Callithrix jacchus: one gene and its partner. The protein of the gene in region 2 interacts with the protein of the main gene of each other region in a biochemical or structural test. Links are inferred from orthologs where the notes say so. Each region holds a gene or a part of one and is shown on either strand. Other genes may lie near its edges.

What was found.
Region 1: the proteins of UBE2E2 (region 2) and RNF14 form a complex in vitro, tested with the Homo sapiens proteins (2 studies listed by BioGRID). The link is inferred for Callithrix jacchus from reciprocal best matches to the Homo sapiens genes UBE2E2 and RNF14.

What each region holds. Positions count from the first base shown.
Region 1 is NC_133503.1:40,475,972-40,485,618, reverse strand, and holds the end of RNF14 (E3 ubiquitin-protein ligase RNF14), read right to left. Parts: intron 8,988-9,647; coding exon of another isoform or gene 8,976-8,987; exon of another isoform or gene 7,515-8,975; intron 6,646-7,514; exon of another isoform or gene 6,522-6,645; intron 5,180-6,521; coding exon 5,066-5,179; 3' UTR 4,791-5,065; downstream 1-4,790. UniProt on the Homo sapiens protein: E3 ubiquitin-protein ligase that plays a key role in the RNF14-RNF25 translation quality control pathway, a pathway that takes place when a ribosome has stalled during translation, and which promotes ubiquitination and degradation of translation factors on stalled ribosomes.
Region 2 is NC_133518.1:61,541,457-61,551,754, forward strand, and holds the start of UBE2E2 (ubiquitin-conjugating enzyme E2 E2), read left to right. Parts: upstream 1-201; 5' UTR 202-362; intron 363-5,810; 5' UTR 5,811-5,818; coding exon 5,819-5,994; intron 5,995-10,298.

The DNA.
Region 1 (9,647 bases), on a different chromosome or scaffold from region 2:
TCAGGGAGATAAAACAAACAGGCTCCAGTTCTCTCAGTCCAGTTCATATTAAATTAGTTATAAATTACCAGTGCCTCAAATCCAAAACTGATTTCATATAAATTTCATCCTTGAGCTTCACAAGCGGAATGGGTCTTTTGCATACTCTAGAGGCACCCTTCCAACCTCCCCAACAATGGAACAGTGGCAACAAAGACCAGAAGAAATAAGAAAAAGTCTGAGAGGCTTGGGAAGATGTTAGATCCTTTGTAAACAGCCTTTTGGAAGGAGAAACAGAGACAGTGCTTGCTCTCCCACCACATTCTTCAGAGGTAGAGTCTTAGAAGCACAGTGTAATAAGGAAGTTGATGGCAACAAAACTAATGAGGCCATGATAAAAAGTTGTGCAGAAGTGCTTGCTTCAGCAGCACATATGCTAAAATTGCAACGATACAGAGAAGATTAGCATGGCCCCTGCGCAAGGATGACACGCAAATTTGTGAAGCGTTCCATATTTTTAAACAAACAAGTTAAGGGCAAGATTCTTGCCAAGAGAATTAATGTGCGTATTGAGCACATCAAGCACTCTAAGAGCTGAGATAGCTTCCTGAAACGTGTGAAGGAAAATGATCAGAAAAAGAAAGAAGCCAAAGAGAAGGGTACCTGGGTTCAACTGAAGCGCCAGCCTGCTCCACCCAGAGACGCACACATTGTGAGAACCAATGGGAAGAAGCCTGAGCTGCTGGAACCTCTTCCCTATGAATTCATGGTGTAATAAGTGTTAAAAAAATGAAAGACCTCTGGACTGTTAAAAAAAAAAAAAAAAGTTGTGCAGAAGATGTGAGAGCAAAATCACAGACCTCTAAAAAATGTAACTGGGGACCTTAGTTTTAAAAATCACCCACTTTTCTAGCCTGGGCAACATAGTGAAACCCTGTCTCTACGAAAAAATATACAAAAATTAGCCAGACGTGGTGGTGTGCCCCTGTAGTCCCAGCTACTTGGGAAGCTGAGATGGGAGCATCGCTTGAACCTGGGAAGTCAAGGTTGCAGTGAGCTGAGATTGCACCACTGCACTCCAACCTGGGTGATAAAGAGAGACCCTGTCTCAAGAAAACAAAAGAACACAATACTCACTTTTTTTTTTTTTTTTTTGAGACAGAGCCTTGCTCTGTTGCCCAGGCTAGAGTGCAGTGGCATGATCTCAGCTCACCACAACCTCTGCCTCCTGGGTTCAAGCAATTCTCCTGCCTCAGCCTCCCAAGCAGCTGGGACTACAGGCATACACCCCCACACCCAGCTGATTTTTTGTACTTTTAGTAGAGATGGGGTTTCACCATATTGGCTAGGCTGGTCTCAAACTCCTGACCTCATGATCCATCTGCCTTGGCCTCCCAAAGTGCTGGGATTACAGGCATGAGCCACCGTGCCCAGTCCTTCTTTTTTTTTTTTTTAGTTTTTAGTTCTAGGGTACATGTGCACGATATGCAGATTTGTTACACAGGTAAATGTGTGCCATGGTGGTTTGCTGCACCTATCAACCCATCACCTAGGTATTAAGCCCTGCATGCATTAGCTATTTTTCCTAATACTCTCCCCGCTACTGCACTCCCCTGACAGGCCCAGGTGTGTTGTTCCCCTCCCTGTGTCCATGTGTTCTCATTGTTCAGCTCCCACTTACAAGTGAGAACATGCAGTGTTTGGTTTTCTGTTCCTGTGTTAGGTTGCTGAGGATAATGGCTTCCAGCTTCATCCATGTCCCTGCAAAGGACATGATCTCATTCCTTCTTATGGCCGTTTAGTGTTCCATGGTGTATACATACCACATTTTCTTTATCTGGTCTATCGTTGATGGGCATTTGGGTTGATTCCATGTCTTTGCTATTGAAAGACTCACTTCTTTTTCTTCCTTCCTTCCCCTCTCATCTCTTCCTTTTTCTCCCCTGTGGACACTCCCTCTGGCTATGCGTGCTAAGGTGATCTAATTATGCTCTTGCTTAAGAAATCCCAGAGACTAATCTTGAAACCAGGCACGGAGTCCCCTTTTTGGAATCCTGTTTAGGGCGAGTCACGAACAATTAGTCCATCACCATCAGGCCAAAATCAAGGTAACACCAGCCAGACCTCAGAACAGGCAATTAGCCCAATTAGCCAAGACAGCCATCAGAACAAGAAACACAGATACACAAATACTGCACCATGTACTGCTCCCACGTCTCCCATACCAAGTTTCCCTTTAAAAGCCCAATGGTAAGTATTAAAATTTAAGATGGTCCTTTAGAATGCTAGTTCACCTCTTATGTTTGGCTTTTTTTTTTTTTTTTTTTTTGAGATGGAGTCTTGCTCTGTTGCCCAGGCTGGAGCACAGTGGTGATCTCAGCTCACTGCAACCTCTGTCTCCTGGTTTCAAGCAATTCTCCTGCCTCGGCCTCCTGCGTAGCCGGGATTACAGGCACCCACCACCACACCCAGCTAAGTTTTGCATTTTTAGTAGAGATGGGGTTTCACCATGTTGGCCAGGCTGGTCTTGAACTCCTGATCTCAGGTGATCCACCACCTCAGCCTCCCAAAGTGCTGGGATTACAGGCGTGAGCCACTGCACCTGGTGGTGCTTGGTGTTTGAATGCAGAGTAGAGCAGACAAACCTGGCTCCAGTTACAGAAAGGCAGTAATCTATGAGGCACTTTGTAAACATACTCGCACCTCTAATGGTGATTGCAGTCCTGCCCCAGGTTCCTCCCCTTAATGTTAGAATAAGACTATAGCTTAGGAAATGTGCTAAAAATGCAGAGTCATAGGCACCATCCTTGAGACATGGCCCCAGTAAGTCAAGGTGGACCCTGGAGCCTGCATCTTTACCCAGATGCCCACAAGGAAGGTGTTGCTGATGGCCAGAGCCCACAGTCTGAGCCATGCTGGCTACTGTCAGTGACAAAAAGACTCCCCGGGCTTTTCCTAGTGTGTGGAACAGTGGTCATAGACTCTGTTCCATGTTTTGATCCTCAAATCCTGGAGAGGATTCCTGAGATTATGAACAGAAAAATTAGAGGGTGAGGACATATATCCCATGACAACAGGATTCTTTCCTTCCCTAAAGAATTTGCTAAGAGATGCTCTTATTTTTCAGAAACTTGCCTGTGTTTGCCATATTAAGCGTGCAAGGGAGCAGTCTGGCAGATGTTCAGGGGAGAGATAGAGAGCATTTAAGAGCTGTGGTGAACTGTGCATTGCTGAGCAATGAAGATGAAATGGGAATCAAGCTAAAGTTACAAACAGAATAGGATTTGACTTATACACTTGTCAAGAACACATTCATTTGTAATTGAAATAATAATGACAGTCTTGTCTAGACATGGTGGCTTATGCCTATAATCCCAGCACTTTGAGAAGCAAGGTAGGAGGAGTGCTTGAGCTCAGAGTTTGAGACCAACTTAGGTTAATATAGTAAGACCTCCTCTATCTCTACAAAAGTAAAAAAAAGAAAAATTAGCCAGGTATGGTGCATGCCTGTGGTCTTAGCTACTTGGGAGGCTGAGATGGAAGGATCACTTGAGCCCAGGAGGTCGAGGCTGCAGTGAGCCATGATTGTGCCACTGTACTCCAGCCTGGGTGACAAGAGTGATACCCCATCTCAAAATAATAAAAATAATAGGCCAGGCATGGTGGCTCACGCCAGTAATCCAAGCACATTGGAGGCCAAAACGGGCGGATCACCTGAGGTCGGGAATTCAATGTGGTGAAACCCCATCTTAAAAAAAAATAATAATAATAATAACAATAATAACAACAGTCTCATGAGCAAGTCCTTGTGCTAATTAGGCTTTATACATTAATTCACTTAAAAATACATTCACATGGCCGGGCATGGTGGCTTATGCCTGTAATCCCAGCACTTTGAGAGGCCAAGGCAGGCAGATTGCCTGAGGTCAGGAGTTTGAGACCAGCCTGGGCAACACGATGAAACCCTGTCTCTACTAACATGCAAAAAATTAGCCGGGCATGGCGGTGCGTGCTCATAATCCCACTACTCGGGAGGCTGAGGCAAGAGAATTGCAAGAATTCAGGAGGCGAAAGTTCCAATGAGCCAAGATTGAGCCACTGCACTCCAGCCTGAGTGACAGAGCGAGACTCCACCTCAAAATATATATATATATATATATATATATATATTCACATATAAATGTGCACATAACAAGTAAAAGCTATTAAGAGGCTGCATTTACAGGTGGTCACAGATCAGCCGAGCAATACAGCCTGTGGTTTAGCCTATGAGCTCTAGATAGCTTCTGATTCGAGTCCTGGCTCTGTCATTTATCAACCGTGTGACCTTCATAAGGAACATCTTCAGGCCTCAGTTTCCTCATCTGTTAAATGAGATGACACATGGAAAGCTCTTAGCACAGTCCTTGGCAGGTAGTAAAACAGCCTCTAAGTGTTTTTAGTGATTATTATTGTCGTTAGTGCTGCCAGAGCAGAGCATGGGTTCCTGCCCTGAAGCAGACTGAGTTGGGGCTGAAGCCACTTTGGACTTCACATGGCCACACGGAGATCCACAGGGATCAAGGAGCGCTGTCAGGCTGGCCTAGATACCGAAATGGTATCCTGAGATGACAGCAACCTGCCATCTTTTCTTTGTGTCCCTTTGATGAGTGGGACATCACCAGCACTGAGGCTGGATGACTCTCCCTACACAGATAGCATGTCCTGGAAACTGGGGAGACCTATAAAGTAAGTGTGAGTTTGCTAAGAATCAAATGAGGTAGTAGACATACCGTGCCTGGCACATGGCAAATAATCATTATTATGCATTATTATAATTATAATTTTATATAATTTGCTGTAGTGTCTCCAAAACACAACCTCACAAATAACAATTAGCATTAACTGAGCACCTACTCCAAGAGCTGTCCATTGGGTCTGGATGCTCAATACCTTTACCTTTTCCTGATGACAGCACTCCATTTTCCTTTGGGGAACTGCCTACCCCCATCCCATTGTTCTGGTGGGACTGCCAATCACAATCCTCTATTCCAATCCCTGACAGGTTTTTTAAAACTTGATCAGCCAGAGACCACCAGGAATGAGCCTACAGTCTGACGAAATCAGATTTCTTGTCTCCAAGCAGTGAGGTGGGGCACTCCGGAAGATCTCCAGAAGGAGGGCAGCTTTCTTGCAAGATGTGGGTTCCTGCCCAAGGATTCTAAAGAGGGTTGAAGGAAAGCAGGAATCAGTTCTGGATTGGATGCTGTTTTGGATAAGGGATTAAGAGGAGCAAGGATTAACCAGGGATTGAGCATTGTCATGAGGCCAGGGTGGCTGAGCAGTTGGTTATCCCCAGTATTAGATGAGAATAGCAAAGCATGCCTCTGCCTTTGTCCTCGGTCCTAGCAAAGAGAGCAGTGGCCACTTTCAGAGGGTCCTTATAGCATTTCACAGCCACTACATGACTTTGGGAGGAACAAGGTTTCTTGCAGGCTTTGTAGGTGGCTTTAACTTTTCTGTCCTCTTAACCTGCTGTTTCTTTTCCAGGACAAGTTGATTTTCACTTTCAGTCCCAGGTAGAGTTTTACTCTTTTTGCCCCAACTGTGACTTTGAACAAAGACATCTTTCCTCAAGACACTTTAGTGCTATTTACTAGAAAATTGTCACAATGAGTGTTCAAACCTCTGATGACTATGATGAGTAACCCCTGAAGTTTACAAAGCCTAATTGCAATTATAGGCAGCAGCCCTGCCCCATGTGCCCTGAGCTGGGGCAATCAGACATTGGGAACTAGGGCAGGAGACTCTCAGGTGGGAGGCAAAGGTTGGAGCAGGCTATCTAAGGAAGAGCCCCGAGAGAGGCTGGGCCACAAACAGTTGTCACTGAAATTCCTGTCACTGCCTGGGCTCTTCAGGGCCTCCCTGAGGATTGTTTAGCTCTTCTTTTGATTCTGGAGCGATCCCAATCATTTCCTAGTAATCCTTGTTAAACTGAGCTAGTCAGTTTCTATTGCTTACAACCCCAGAACCCTAAATAACATATCTGTTTTTGTAGGTCTTGTATTTGGTGCTGGGATAGAGAGGAATAACGTGCGGGCCCACTGGTGTACTCACTGTGTACCTATGATGTCAGGGAGTGATTACTCCCATGACAAAATAATTTTTCCCTTTCCAAAATAATTAACCCTTGGGCCCTTCCCTTTCTCTCCTGACCCCTCATTCTGTAAACTCTATGAATTCTCACTATATCTCCAGTGCCTGGCCCACAGTGAGCCCTCGACAGATTCAATGAATGAATGAATGAATGAATGAATGAATGATTGTTATCAACATCTCCATTTCTACAGATAAGAAAACTGAGCCTCAAAGAGACTCATGACTAAGCTATGCACATGCTATTAACAAGTGGTAAAGAAGAAATTCAAAACCAGGCCAGTCTGCATCTTCACTATACCACACATACTTCTCTTATTCATAATCAAGGTCCCAATGAAAGATTTTAATGTCAAAATGTCACCTACCAATTTGGTGACTCCTCAAAAAGTTAAATGTTGAATTACCATATAATTGGCCGGGCGCAGTGTCTCATGCCTGTAATCCTGGCACTTTGGGTGGCCGAGGTGGGCGAATCACGAGGTCAGAAGATCTAGACCATCCGGGCCAACATGGTGAAACCCATCTCTACTAAAATACAAAAAATTAGCTGGGTATGGTGGCACGTGGCTGTAGTCCCAGCTACTCAGGAGGTTGAGGCAGAGGAAACATTTGAACCTGGGAGGTGGAGGTTGCAGTGAGCCGAGGTTGCGCCACTGCACTCCAGCCTGGTGACAGAGCAAGACTCTATCCCAAAAACCAAAAATAAACAAACAAAAAAGAATTGCTATATAACCCAGCAATTCCACTCCTAAGTACCCCCCAAAAGAGTTTAAAGCAGCTACTCAAATAAGTACATGTACACACATGTTCATAGCAGCACTATTTGCAATAGCCTAAAGGTAGAAACAGCCCAAATCCCCGTCAATGGATGAATGGATAAATTGTATATATATCACACAAGAAAATATTATGCAGTCATAAAAAAGGAGTATTGATACATGATGTGGATGAACCTCAAAAGTACTTCAAGTAAAAGAAGTTAGACACAAAAGGTCACATATTTTATGATTCAAGTTATATAAAATATCCAAAATAGGTAGATCCATAGAGACAGAACACTGACTGGTGGTTACCAGGACAGGAGGGAGAGGGAATAGGGAGAAACTGCTTATTAGGTACAGAGCTTCCTTTTGGGGTAATGAAAGTATTTGAACTTTCCAAAGTGGTGGCTGTGCAATACCGTGAAAGTCCTAAATGCCCCCAACTAGTTCACGTTAAAATGGCTAATATTTTGGTCAGATGTGGCGGCTCACACCTATAATCTCAGCACTTTGGGAGGCCGAGACGGGTGGATTGATTGAGCCCAGGAGTTTGAGACCAGCCTGGGCAAAGATAGGGAGACCCTGTATCTACAAAAAAACTACAAACAAAAAAATAAAAATTTTTAAATGGCCTTATTTTAAAATTAATTGAAATTTTTTTTAATTTAAAATTTAAAAATTTTAACATCTCTATGTTACATGAATTTCACCTCAATAATACAAAAATCTTAAAGCCACTGAACTGTACATTTAAAATGGCTTAAATAGTACATTTGATGTTATGTATATTTTACATACACACAAAATTCACACTCCAGGAGCCACCCTGCCACTCAGAAACACCAAATGTTTCCCATGGCATTTCTCCTAGCCCTGGGAAACACAATAAGGACTCAATGAATGCTGGTATTTTTCATTCGTTTTTAGGCTGTGCTGGAGAGAAGCCCTCTCCTGGAGGCAGTATGGTCAAATGGCTGGGAGTACAGGCAGCTGAGTTCAAACCCCAGGTCAGCCACTTATCCACTTGGTGACCTTGGGTGATTTATAAACCTGTCTGTGCAAGTTTTCTCATCAAGAAAATTGGAAACACAGTGCCTACTTCACAGGTGAAGTGAAATGATAATGTGTGAAAGCACTTGGAACCATCCCTAAGACACAGAAAGTGTTCAGTATCAGCTGCTGGGATGAGGGTACAGTGGGTTCTGCTGCTCCCAACCCCTCCATTTTCACCAGTGTTTACCATAGTACCTCTCTGTAATACATTCTGTGCTTCAGGTAACTGTTTTTGGCAGGAAAGGAGCAGTTACCTTCAAAGCAAGCTGACTCCCCAAAGAGGAGTCTTCTTGTGATGAAATCCCAAGGAAACTCCAGAGACCCCCTCCTGGGTGTTTATGTCCATCAGCAGTAGGGAGCTCCCAGGAGATGAATTCTACACAGAATGATCAGTGGTTCCTGTGCCCTTTGGCAGCTTGTGAAGCTAAGCACATTTACCATGAGCTCTTCTTCTCAGTCATTTGCTAGGTGGGATGACACTGCTCCCCTCTGGGATTAGGACTTCCCCCATTTCCACCCAGGCTGTTTCTTGTGTTCGGTATGATATGGAAGAGACTTAGAGATGTGGGAAGCATCCCACACAGCTGATCAGCCAGGCACAGAGGTCCACCCACCTGCAGAAGGGTCACCAGGCTCGGAAACATCCTGTCCCCACCTGCAAATCTATCCATGCCTCTTGTTCATGCCCAGCCCACACATTTGATTTTTTTCTAAATTCATTGTTTTCAAAGTAATTAAAAGTCTCTTGCTTATTCTGAGAAAATAAGCTGCCATGTTGTGAGATGTTCTGCGGAGAGGCCTCTGTGGCAAGGACCAAGGGAAGCCTCCAGCAGACAGCTCATGAGAAACTGAATCCTACCAATAAACATGTGAGTGAGCCAGTGTTCTGCAAAAGGGCCAGATATGCAGAGAGACCCCCAAATACCAAAGAAGCCAAGAAACCAAAGGAGGCTGACAAATCCAGCTTGGTGGTGAAGGATAATCTGCTGAGGTAACTTACAGACAGAAGCGTGGTCTTGGGTGGCCACAAGACAGGTAGATCTGTTACTCCCAGACCTAAGGATTATATACAATGGGGAAATAGTAAATATGCTGTCAAGACAATTAAAGGCAGCCCTCCAGAACAGTCAAGAATGCTGTGTGTGTTCCAGCCTATAATGTGTGCAATAACATCAAGGTTGCTTTTTTTCTTATACTAGGAACAACAAATAAAGCAGAAACCAGGAGACAAAATTGGCTGGGTGTGGTGGCACGCGCCTGTAATCCCAGCTACTTGGGAGCCTGAGGCAGGAGAATTGCTTGAACCCAGGAGATAGATGGAAGTTGCAATGAGCTGAGATCACACCCCCGCACTCCAGCCTGGGCAATAAGAGCAAAACTCCGTTGTTTTTTCTTTTTTTTTAAAAAAAGACCTAGATAGGGGCCAGGTGTGACAGCTCAATCCTGTAATCCCAGTATTTTGGGAGGCTGAAGCAGGAAGACTGAGGCAGGAGGATCGCTTGAAACCAGGAGACCAGCCTGGGCAACAAAGTAAGATCCTGTCTCTGCAAAAAATAAAAAAATAAATAAAAAAGCCGGGGGAGGGGGTGGGTTGTGGGCGGGGAAGACCCAGCTAAACTGCACCTAGATTCCTAACCTGCAGCGACTTTAAGATGATGTTGTTTTAAGGCACTAAATTTTAGAATAATTTGTCATGCAGTGAAGAATGACTAATAT
Region 2 (10,298 bases):
TCACTTTACTTTTCCGCGCCGCCTCTTCACCCCCTCTCACGGCCGGCGGGGCAGCCCGCCGGGGCGCGCGCCCGCCCCCGCCCCCTCGCGGCCGCGCGCCGAAGGAGGAGGGGCGCGGGGAGGAGGGAGGCGCGCGGCGCCGCACGGCCGACGTGGGGCTCGCGCTCTCGCGGTCTCTCCCGGGCGGGCGCCCGGGCACGCGCAGTCGCGGGCGCGCGCGCGGACGGCCGGGCGGCGGCGGCTCCCAGAGGTGGTGGCTTCACTTTCCAGGACTCAGGGGCAGCCACAGCGACAGCCGCGGGCAGCAGCCTCAGGAGCCGGAGCTGGAACGGCCGGGGGCGGCGGCAGCGGCGGCGCTAAGGGTGAGTCCGGGCGGGCGCGAGCGCGGCGGGGACAGGCGTGGTCGGGTGCGTGGTGCGTGGGTCCGGCTTTCGGTGACTAGACGGTCCGCAGGGGACATCCCGTCCCTGGGGCCTCCCTAGGCTCCCCCCGCTCGCGCCTCAGCAGCTCTCTCCCCGGGCTTCGGCTTGAGCCCGCGACCTGCGCGGACACCCCCCTCAGGTATTCGCTCGGGCCGCGCCGGTGCCTCCCCTCCTCGGGCGTCCTCCCTCTCGCGGGCGTCCTCCCCACTTCCCCGACCTCCCCTCCGCGCCGCAGGTCTCTGCTTACACCACTGGCGTCCTAGTTCCCTCCTTCCTCGCTCCCCGTGCCCGGTTCTCTGCGCCCCCTCCCGCGAGCCTCCTGCCCCCGTTTCTCGCCCTTTCTACCCCTCCCCCTCTTTCCCATCCCCCCCCCTTCTGCCTCTTCACTCCCTGTCCTCCTTCTACCCCCTTCCGTTCTCAGTTCCCCATCCTTCCCCACCCTCCCAGCGCCTTCCTTCTCCTGGCCGCATCCTGGAACTAAGTCTTTGCAAAAGTACAGGATAAATGTCACGGTGGAAAGTGCCCGGCTTGATCTTTTGCTATTTTCCCTAATTGCATAATTGCTGCACATGGTGTCTCTCCTGGCGAGTGCCGGGTCTGGCGGCTCCGCCGCCGCACCCCGGTGGCCCGCCCGGAGAAGACCTTGTGGGGTATATTTGTGTGTGTCCTGGTGTGGGGTGTGTGTTGTATTGGTCTTTTGTGATGCCTGGCGCTTGTCACAGTTTGGAACCGAAGCCCATTTTTCTCTGGTCTCTTCTCTGCAGCTCCGCTGGCCTGGTTTGAAACTGGATTCCCTCTGTCCTCTTCCCCTTCTCCCTCCTCCACCCACTTCTCCCCCTCTCTTCTCTCCTCTCTCTGGTAATGTTTTGATCCTTTTGCCCTTTACCATTTCTAATGAAGATAAAGCGTGGCTTCTTGTGGCTTTTTTTTCCCACGACCAACCAGAAATGTCCAATCCATCTTCCGTTAAGGAAATTAAGGTCGCTTTAGAAAGACATCATCCTGTGCTCGGTGGCTGTTAGACCCATTTGCATGTTTCCAAGACTCGTCGTTTTGTATTGTGTGTTCTTGAGAGTCTATTCAAATATTTTTATTTAAAAGTACGAAAGGAAGTGCTAGGGTTTACCCTCAGATTGTCTCGCGGTTCAGAAAGATTTTACGCTCTTCTTAGTATTTAATCCCTGATTCTTTAAAAAGTGTGTTTCTAGATATGTGATAATTCAGTCAAGACTTTGTGAATCTAAATATTTGCCTTTACTACGACAATTTGAATGCACCTTGGCTCTTTGGAGTTCTGTATGTAGGCTGTTGCTTAAAATGGAGTGTTTTCATGTAATGTCATACCCCATTCTCTCTCTCCTGCTGCACCTTTTAACCTCAAATCAGGTGTTCCACTGTTATGTTCTGCATAAATGTCTTTGCAGTTAAATTTAAAGCTGGATATTGCTGTGTGCATATACTGTGTACTATTTTGTTTTATATTTTTGAAAAGTTTAGAAACGTGAGTAGGAAGACAAGATATATATGACAGAATTAAACGCTTTCCTGTTATAAAAGCTCAAGTGAACCCTTGTTTTGCAGTTTCGTACTAGTAGATACTGTTATAAGGCTTATCTGGATGGTAGTCTGAATTTATGGAATGACTGTAGTTGGCTTTATGTAGTCAGTGATACTTCAAGCCAAATCATTTCATTTTTATGGAACATGTGAGTTTCATTCACTGTATGTTGCTAATTTCCAGGACTGTAATTACAACATAGAGTACATAGCTAATACAGGTTTAGTTTGTGTTGAAGAAGGAACAGAAAGTAAGTCTCTTAAAATAGTTTTAGGAAGGACTACCTTACTATTTTATGTTTAAAAATCAAGTTTTACTTTGAGTTATGAAATAAGCATATTAATTTATATATCTCAGTATCTTTGAAACTATCATTGGAGAGTAACTCTTTGTTTCTACCCCTGGGATTTAAGTTTATCTTCCCTGTAGATTAGATAATCGGCTCAGATTAGCTGTTAGGAGTTTATTTTAAAATGCTAATTTAGAAGATAATGTTTAAAGAACTTTAAGTTAGGAATTTTTATTCATTTGTACTTTAGAGAGACATCAATTTTACACTTATGACTAATTAAAATGATTTATAGACTACTTTTTCTTCATGAAAATTTGTTTCACCTGAGTGGTACAACAATTTTTTTCTATACTTTTTCTGTAATCAAGTACTCAAAAAACAAACCCAGGAGAAATTCCTTTTATTAGTAATATTTGAAAAAGAGATGTGAAAACTATTTCTAAAAGTTCCCATAGTGGTTATCAGTGGCCTGAGATGGATTCATCATTTGTAGGTTAACATTTGGATGAAATAAGATATCTTAAGTCAAAAGTGGAAATAATTCTTTTCCTTAATGTAAAACTAGAAATTATGCCTCTTTTGGGGCATTTTTAATAGTATTTTTATTAGTTCTCTAGTGAGACTAATTTTTACTTCAGGCTTCCTTTGATATTTGGCAGTAGTTTATGAAATTTGGGTTTCACATTATGGCTCAGATCGTATCATTGAGTAATCTTTATAAGGAATTATGTAACTATGGCATTATTTGATAGTATGTAAATGCACATAAATAAGAATATTAAGAAGAATGTGTGGCTTTATAACTAATGTGATACACAACTGAAACTCTCAGCATAGTTTATTAAATCTTACTTTATTAAACTGAAGCTGCAGCCTCAGTGTAGAGAATATTATTTCATTGAGGTTCCCATATATTTGTCATGTAATGGATTGCTTGTGGTTTAAAATGTATAAAATGATGTCTCATTTCACAATTCTTAAGGTATTGCTGGCAGCATTTTGCTGTATCTGAGCACCTTTCCCTGAGTATTGTTCTCTTTTTCACTCCCATGCATGCCACCCTATCTGATATGCTATTATGTACATACTTTCAAGGTTTCAAACATCTGATAAAATTTAACTGAAAGAAGTAAGGTGAAAGAAAAACAATGTTAAATCCAAGAATAAGAATTTAGAGTGAAATAAAACTGAAAAAAAGCAAGAAATATGTTACGATTTTTAGAGCTAGCGGTGAAACATACTGATATAAAATTTCAGCATTCTATTAAGTGACTTTAGTGCTCATAAAAGATGTCACAGCTGTAGAGACTGATGCTCTTCATTTACAGAATAGGTAGAAAAGTAGTCAGCTTTTCCGTTAGTGTGTTTCAGAACTGTTGGGGCAGACCTGTTTTTGTTTGGCATGGGGAGCTGTTGTAGTTGAAGGGGTGCTGGTGGTGGTGTATGTGGTGTGTCAGTGAAAGCATTCACTGTTTTCTTTTGACTCTTTGCCTCTCTATGCTTCCTGATGCTTCCATTCTTTTCATTGCTTTCTGATTTGTCTTATAAAAATTTCAATCCATTAAAGATCCATGTTACAACATTGCTTTTGCTTAGAGCAAGCTACAAGTTAAATCTTTGTTAATGATGAATTTTAATTAGTGTCAAATAGCTATCTATTTGGACTAAATTATAGTAATTAAAATTTTTGCTTTATTTGAAGTATTTTTATGTATTCTTATTCTTGATCATATCAGAAACAGTTTTATTTGAACTTCTAATTTGATTAATCAAAAGAATCCATTTCAAAAGGAATTTGTTCAGTGTACCTATAATTTTTAAAGGTGTATTTTGTGTTAATGGTACTTGTTAAGCATAGGTAGTTTTGTTTTCAAAGAGGTGTCTGAGAAGGTAGCTATACAGTGCTCAAAGTGATTATTAGGTGATAAACCGTGGTAAGCACAAGGCCTTTTAGAGTCTGGACATAGGTTTTGTTGGTTCCGTTCTGGATTTGTCAGAATACTCTAAGCTAGTTAGCTCATAAGGGATGTATTCATAGTAATCAAACTCAGAAATTGATTATGATAGAATGGCAGTTGAGAAGAGATATTCCTTTTCACTTACAGGAATTGTGTCTGCTGTCTAGGTTATAACAGCTACCTAAATATCAAGGTATTTCGGAAATTGAGTTGGTAATCAGAGCTGCTCGGGGAGCATGAACTCAGAGGAGAGGGAATTTGAAAGCCTTGAGGAATATTTTAACCGGACTGTGAAAAAAAAAATTCTTCAGCGTCTCCATCTCTTATGAAAAATGGTTGCTTTAGTATACAGCTGAATCAATGCTGACACCATCATACGGTTCAGTTTTTATTTAGAATCATGCAGTCATGTAGACCTTTGTGTTCATCTGTTATTGCAAAGGTCACTTAAAATAATTTACTAGTTTGGAGAATTTTAACCATAACCCAGTGCTGAGGATGTACTGATTTGAATAGGGATTTTTAAGTGTCCACCCATTTTTCTGTTCCCACAGCTTTTTGTACAAACCTTCGTTTTAGTACTTAGCAAGTTGACTGGGCCAGGTTTTTCATAGTTGTAGGACCAAAGGGCTTAGCACAGCACCAGGTAGAGAGTAGACCCTTAATCATTTTTTTCCTATTTTTTATAACAGCATTATTATATGTAATTCATATACCATAAAATTTACCCTTTAAAAATGTAAAACTCTGTAGTTCTTAGAATATTTACAATTAGAATCATGCAATGTTACCATTATCTAATTTAAGAACATTTATATCACCCCAAAGGGAAGTATCATACCCATTAGCAGTCAATCCTCACTACTCTCCCTCCCCTCACTCCCTGGCAACCACTTACCCTCTTTATTTTTTTTATTAATTTTGTTTCCTTTGATACAGGGTATTACTCTGTCACTCAGGCTGGAATGCAGTGATAGTAATCTTTTTTTTTTTTTTTTGGTAGAGATTGAGTCCCACTATGTTGCCCAGGCTGTTCCTGCCTGGGCTTCCCAAAGCATTGGGGATTACAGGCATGAGATCTGCTTACTGAATTTTGTGTTTATGGATTTGCCTAGTCTGGACGTTTCATATAAATAGTCAAACAGTTTGTGGTCCTTTGTGGCTGGCTTCTTTCACTTACGATAATGTTTCAAGGTTCATCCATTTTGTAGCACGTAGACACTGTACTTCATTCTTTTTTATGGCTAATAGTACATTATGTGGATATACTACTACATTTTGTTTATCCATTCATCCCTTAGTGGATATTTGAGTTGTTTCCAATTTTGGTTATTATGAATAATGTCGCTGTGAACATTTCATGTATAAATTTTGTATGCTTTCATTTTACAATATACTTTGAATGGATGAAAGAAAAGTTATAGCAACTCTCAAAACTGCATTGTTTTGTAAATGACCAATTTATCCATTTTATATTGAGATTTACTTGTTTTCTTTGAGGCTCATTCTGTGTGTCATGGAAGTAGCGTACTGTAATTCTCCTCACAGCGGAATAAATGATTTTTGATTCTTTAATCTAGGATCTAAAATGTCCACTGAGGCACAAAGAGTTGATGACAGTCCAAGCACTAGTGGAGGAAGTTCCGATGGAGATCAACGTGAAAGTGTTCAGCAAGAACCAGAAAGAGAACAAGTTCAGCCCAAGAAAAAGGAGGGAAAAATATCCAGCAAAACCGCTGCTAAGTTGTCAACTAGTGCTAAAAGGTACCTCAGTTATTGTAACCTTTTTATTTTTGGTATCAGTTTATCATCTTAAGTTCTACTTTTCTTTTGCATTTAATCATTTTTTCCGGGATATTTAAGCCATGAACTTCATGGATTTTTCTTTCCCCTTACAGACGATCTTTTTTACATGGTTTTAACCATAGGGAACTTAAGTATTTAAAGTCAGTTAAATGGCATGGCAGATTCATAAAATACATATCCATAGTATGTTTGTGTTTTTGTGTATCATTAAGGAAGCATATACAGGATGTGCATGTAAAATTGCAGTGGTTTCATTTACAGTTACTTGACCATAAATTTTTTTTTCCTGTTCAGTAACACAGAATAGAGATTAAGAATCTATTGAAGTAGTTATTGAGTGAATGATAGTTTATTTTCCACTACTCTCAGTTGGTAAAGTCAGAAATGCTGACATTAGCAACAAGTGCATCTTGGTTTCATTACATTAGTCAGTGGGTCTGTCTTGATACACAGTTTCTCTTTCTCTAGAGGAATAGATGGATCTGGAAAGTAGGTATTTGAATGATTTTCTGTTGGTACATCAGTCTCTTAAGATAATTGACATGTCATTGGACTTAAAGGGAATCTGTTTTGATATTGTTACATTATAGAATATCTCTTGGAAAATAATTTGAAAGATAAATATAGTGTCTTTCCTGATTCTGTGATTTTATGTTCTTGCTTTGTTATTGTATGTTTTATATTGATCGAATAGGAAGTACAAATAAAAGTAGTCTAACTTTTAGGCATAGTGGAATGTCAGAATGTTGAATTACAGCTTTATATGTTATTGTATGATGTGGATTAAGGGGAACTCCTTTCTCAAAGATAAAAAAAAAAAACATTATTGGGCCAGGTGCAGTGGCTCAAGCCTGTAATCCCAGCACTTTAGGAGGCTGAGGTGGGTGGATCAAGAGGTCAATAGATTGAGACCATCATGGCCAACATGGTGAAACCCCCTCTCCACTAAAACAATACAAAAAAATTAGCTGGGCCTGATGGCGTGCACCTGTAGTCCTAGCTACCTGGAAGGCTGAGGCAGGAGAATTGCTTGAAACCAGAAAACAGAAGTTTCAGTGAGCCGGGATTGTACCACTGTACTGTAGCCTAGCGATACGGCGAGACTCTGCTTCAAAAAATAAAATAAAATAAAATAAAGCATTATTATAGTTTAGTAGACCTTGTTTCCCTTTGGCTTAGCCAATCAATAGGGTTGGAAAGAACCTTCTCAGATTCCTTGGTGAGAGATGTTGGAGGGATGGTGAAAGGTTATTTAAAGGTACTAGAGTATTCTGTTTCCCTTTCCTGGGAGTGTATTGCTGATCCCTGACCTCTATCGAAGGAGCTGTGTGAAAGCCCTGAATTTAAACTTTTAGTCCTGTATGCTAGAACATGCTAGGGTAGGGAAGAGGGCTCAGTTTGTTTTGCCATCACACCGCAAGTACGAGGGACTCAGCTACCTGACTCTTGTATTGCCTGACCACAACACAAATAAGCTGCTTAGAGGTGACCTGGGAAATGGAGGGTGGGGTTAGGATGGATAAAAAAGGTGGGGAATAGAGAAAATAGGACATTTAGATGAAAGGAGGAGGTTGATGTGGGTGGGTAGATGTTCAGGTACAGATCGTAATTACATGTAGTTTAGGAAAATCTAATTCAGTCCTGAGCGTCTTTAGTCTGTCAGAAAAGGGTAAGGACTGGTTGGCCAGGTCTGTGGGGAATAGGGTTCTGCTGGGCCTATGCTTTGTTCTATGACTGCTAGTTAGCAAAGTCACCTGTTTTGGAGAGGCTCTGCCTTTTCCCCTACCTGGGAGCACCACTATAAAATACCTCAGAATCATATTTCTTGGGTGATAAGTCAAAGACCAAATTCTGCTTATGAAAGATGTACTGCTTAAGAGTTTTTCAAGTATGTGGGTCTTCATTGTACTACAGTTATCTGTAGAAAGTATAGATTATGCAAACCTAATGATAGATTTCATGAGGGAAACATATAGAAGGTTTTTTTTTTTGCATTGTCAAAAAAATACGTCAGATCTAAGACCTAGTTTAGAGATAATGTATGTGCAGAGCCTAGAACAGTGCCTGATTGGCAGTAAATAGAAAGTGGTTGTATTACGTTGATCAAAGTAAGAAGTCTCTTTTGAGTTGTTGCTTCCTGGCTGAAAGAATCCCTCTGTTTGCAAATTCTTGTTAATCTGTGATTTTCAAATTGTGGTTCATGATCTTTCTCTAGAAAGATCTTCAGTTGGTTTTTGGGTGACAGTGTATGAAGTGATATAATAATTTACTATTTATTTTAAATATAAAAATGTGGCTTCACTACTGTTTTTTTTTGAGACGGAGACTCACTCCTGTCGTGCCGGCTGGAGTGGAGTGACACGATCTTGGCTTACTGCCACCTCCACCTCCCACGTTCAAGTGATTCTCCTTCCTCAGCCTCCTCAGTAGTTGGGATTACAGGCGTGCACCACCATGCCTGGCTAATTTTTGTATTTTTGGTAGAGATGGGGTTTTGCCATGTTGGCTAGGCTGGTCTTGAATTACTGACCTCAGGTGATCCACCTGCTTCAGCCTTTCAAAGTGCTAGGATTACAGGCGTGAGCCATCACACCTGGACCACTACTAATGTTTTAATTAAAAAAAATAATATTCTCCCCTCTCTCTTCCTCCAATTCAGTTGACAGTGAAGTTATTAGTTCTTTCCCATTTCTGCTTAAATTCTAAGCACTTAGGAAAAAACTTGGGAATTATGAGGGCAGAGGACTCCCCATCTTTTAGGTTCACTGTCATATCCGTAGTGCCTAGCAGAGTATGGTCACAATATTTATTTACTGATTGCCTTGGAACCCTGAGCTTATTATAGGAATTGGATTCATGAATATTAGGATCTTGGTACTAGTGTGTTCAGAAGATTAAAAGTTAGAGGTAGTTTCAAAATAACTTTTATTTCATACTTTTTGTTGATGATCATTTTTATTTAGATGAAAAGTCTTTCGCAAATAGTGTCATTTAATGAGTAGCATTGAAGAGCTTGAACTCTAGAGACAGGATCTACGTTTGAATCTAGGTTCTAGCATTTAGTAGCTGTAGCTCTGTGGTCTTTTCCTCTTTCTTTTTCTTGATTTTTTTTTTTGAGGCAGAGTCTTGCTCTGCCACCCAGGCTAGAGTGCAGTGGTATGATCTCCAATTCTTGGGCTCATTCAGTCCTGCATCAGCCTCCCAAGTAGCTGGGATTACAGCGATGTGGCACTTTTGAGGCAGAGTCTTGCTCTGTCTCCCAGGCTGCAGTGCAGTATATTATCTCCAACTCCTGGGATCACTTAGTCCTGTTGCCGCAGTCTCCCAAGTAGCTGGGATTACAGGGGTATGTCACCACACCAGGCTAAAGTTTTAATGTATATTTTGTTGGGATGAGAGTCTCACTATGTTGCCCAGGCTGGCCTTGAACTCGTGGTTGCAAGTGATCTCTCAAAGTGTTGGAATTACAGGCGTGAGCCACTGTGCCTAGCCTCTGCGATCCTGATGTATGATTACAGCTCTGAGCCTCAATTTCTTCTTTCTTAGAAGGAAGATGATAATGGTACACTCTTCACAAGTTTCTTGTGAGGACTAAATATGATAAAGCACTTATTTGGCACATAGTAAGCTCTCACAAATGCTGTCACTAATAGACTTAAAGTCTATAATGATATTTTTCAAGTCTATTTGGAACAAACTTTGGAAAAATGAGGTATATGTTAACCTTCAAGACCTTAATGCTATTGTTAAACTAGAAATACTGTAATTAAATGCATTTTGTAGTGACTTAGGACAAGTGCTTGCATGTAGGTGCTCAGTTACAATATGAAATATACTGTAATTGTAGAATTAATAATTGCTATAATATGGTAATTGTAGAATCAATAAGCTGGTTTAGAAATATGATTTCTTGAAAAATCTCACATTTGTGATATTACAGAATAGTGATATACAGAAAACATTTAAGTATTTAAACAGTAGTAGAATTTAATTTCTGTCTCGGAGTTAAGAGGAAAGATTACAGTTACATCTTTGATGCATTTTTGCTTTCCTTTGGCAAGAATTTGTTTCTTAAAAAATTGTCATGCTCTTATCACAGCCTGTTCTCTTGATATATCTATATCACTCTTGTTATATTTGCAAGTATGTGGTTGGACCATATTTGCAGTGACAGATTTAGATGATTTTGATTAAATTGACTAGTCAGTTCAATAAAACATCTATTTTGAGATCTTCATTGAATTTATTCTGCTGCTCTTTTT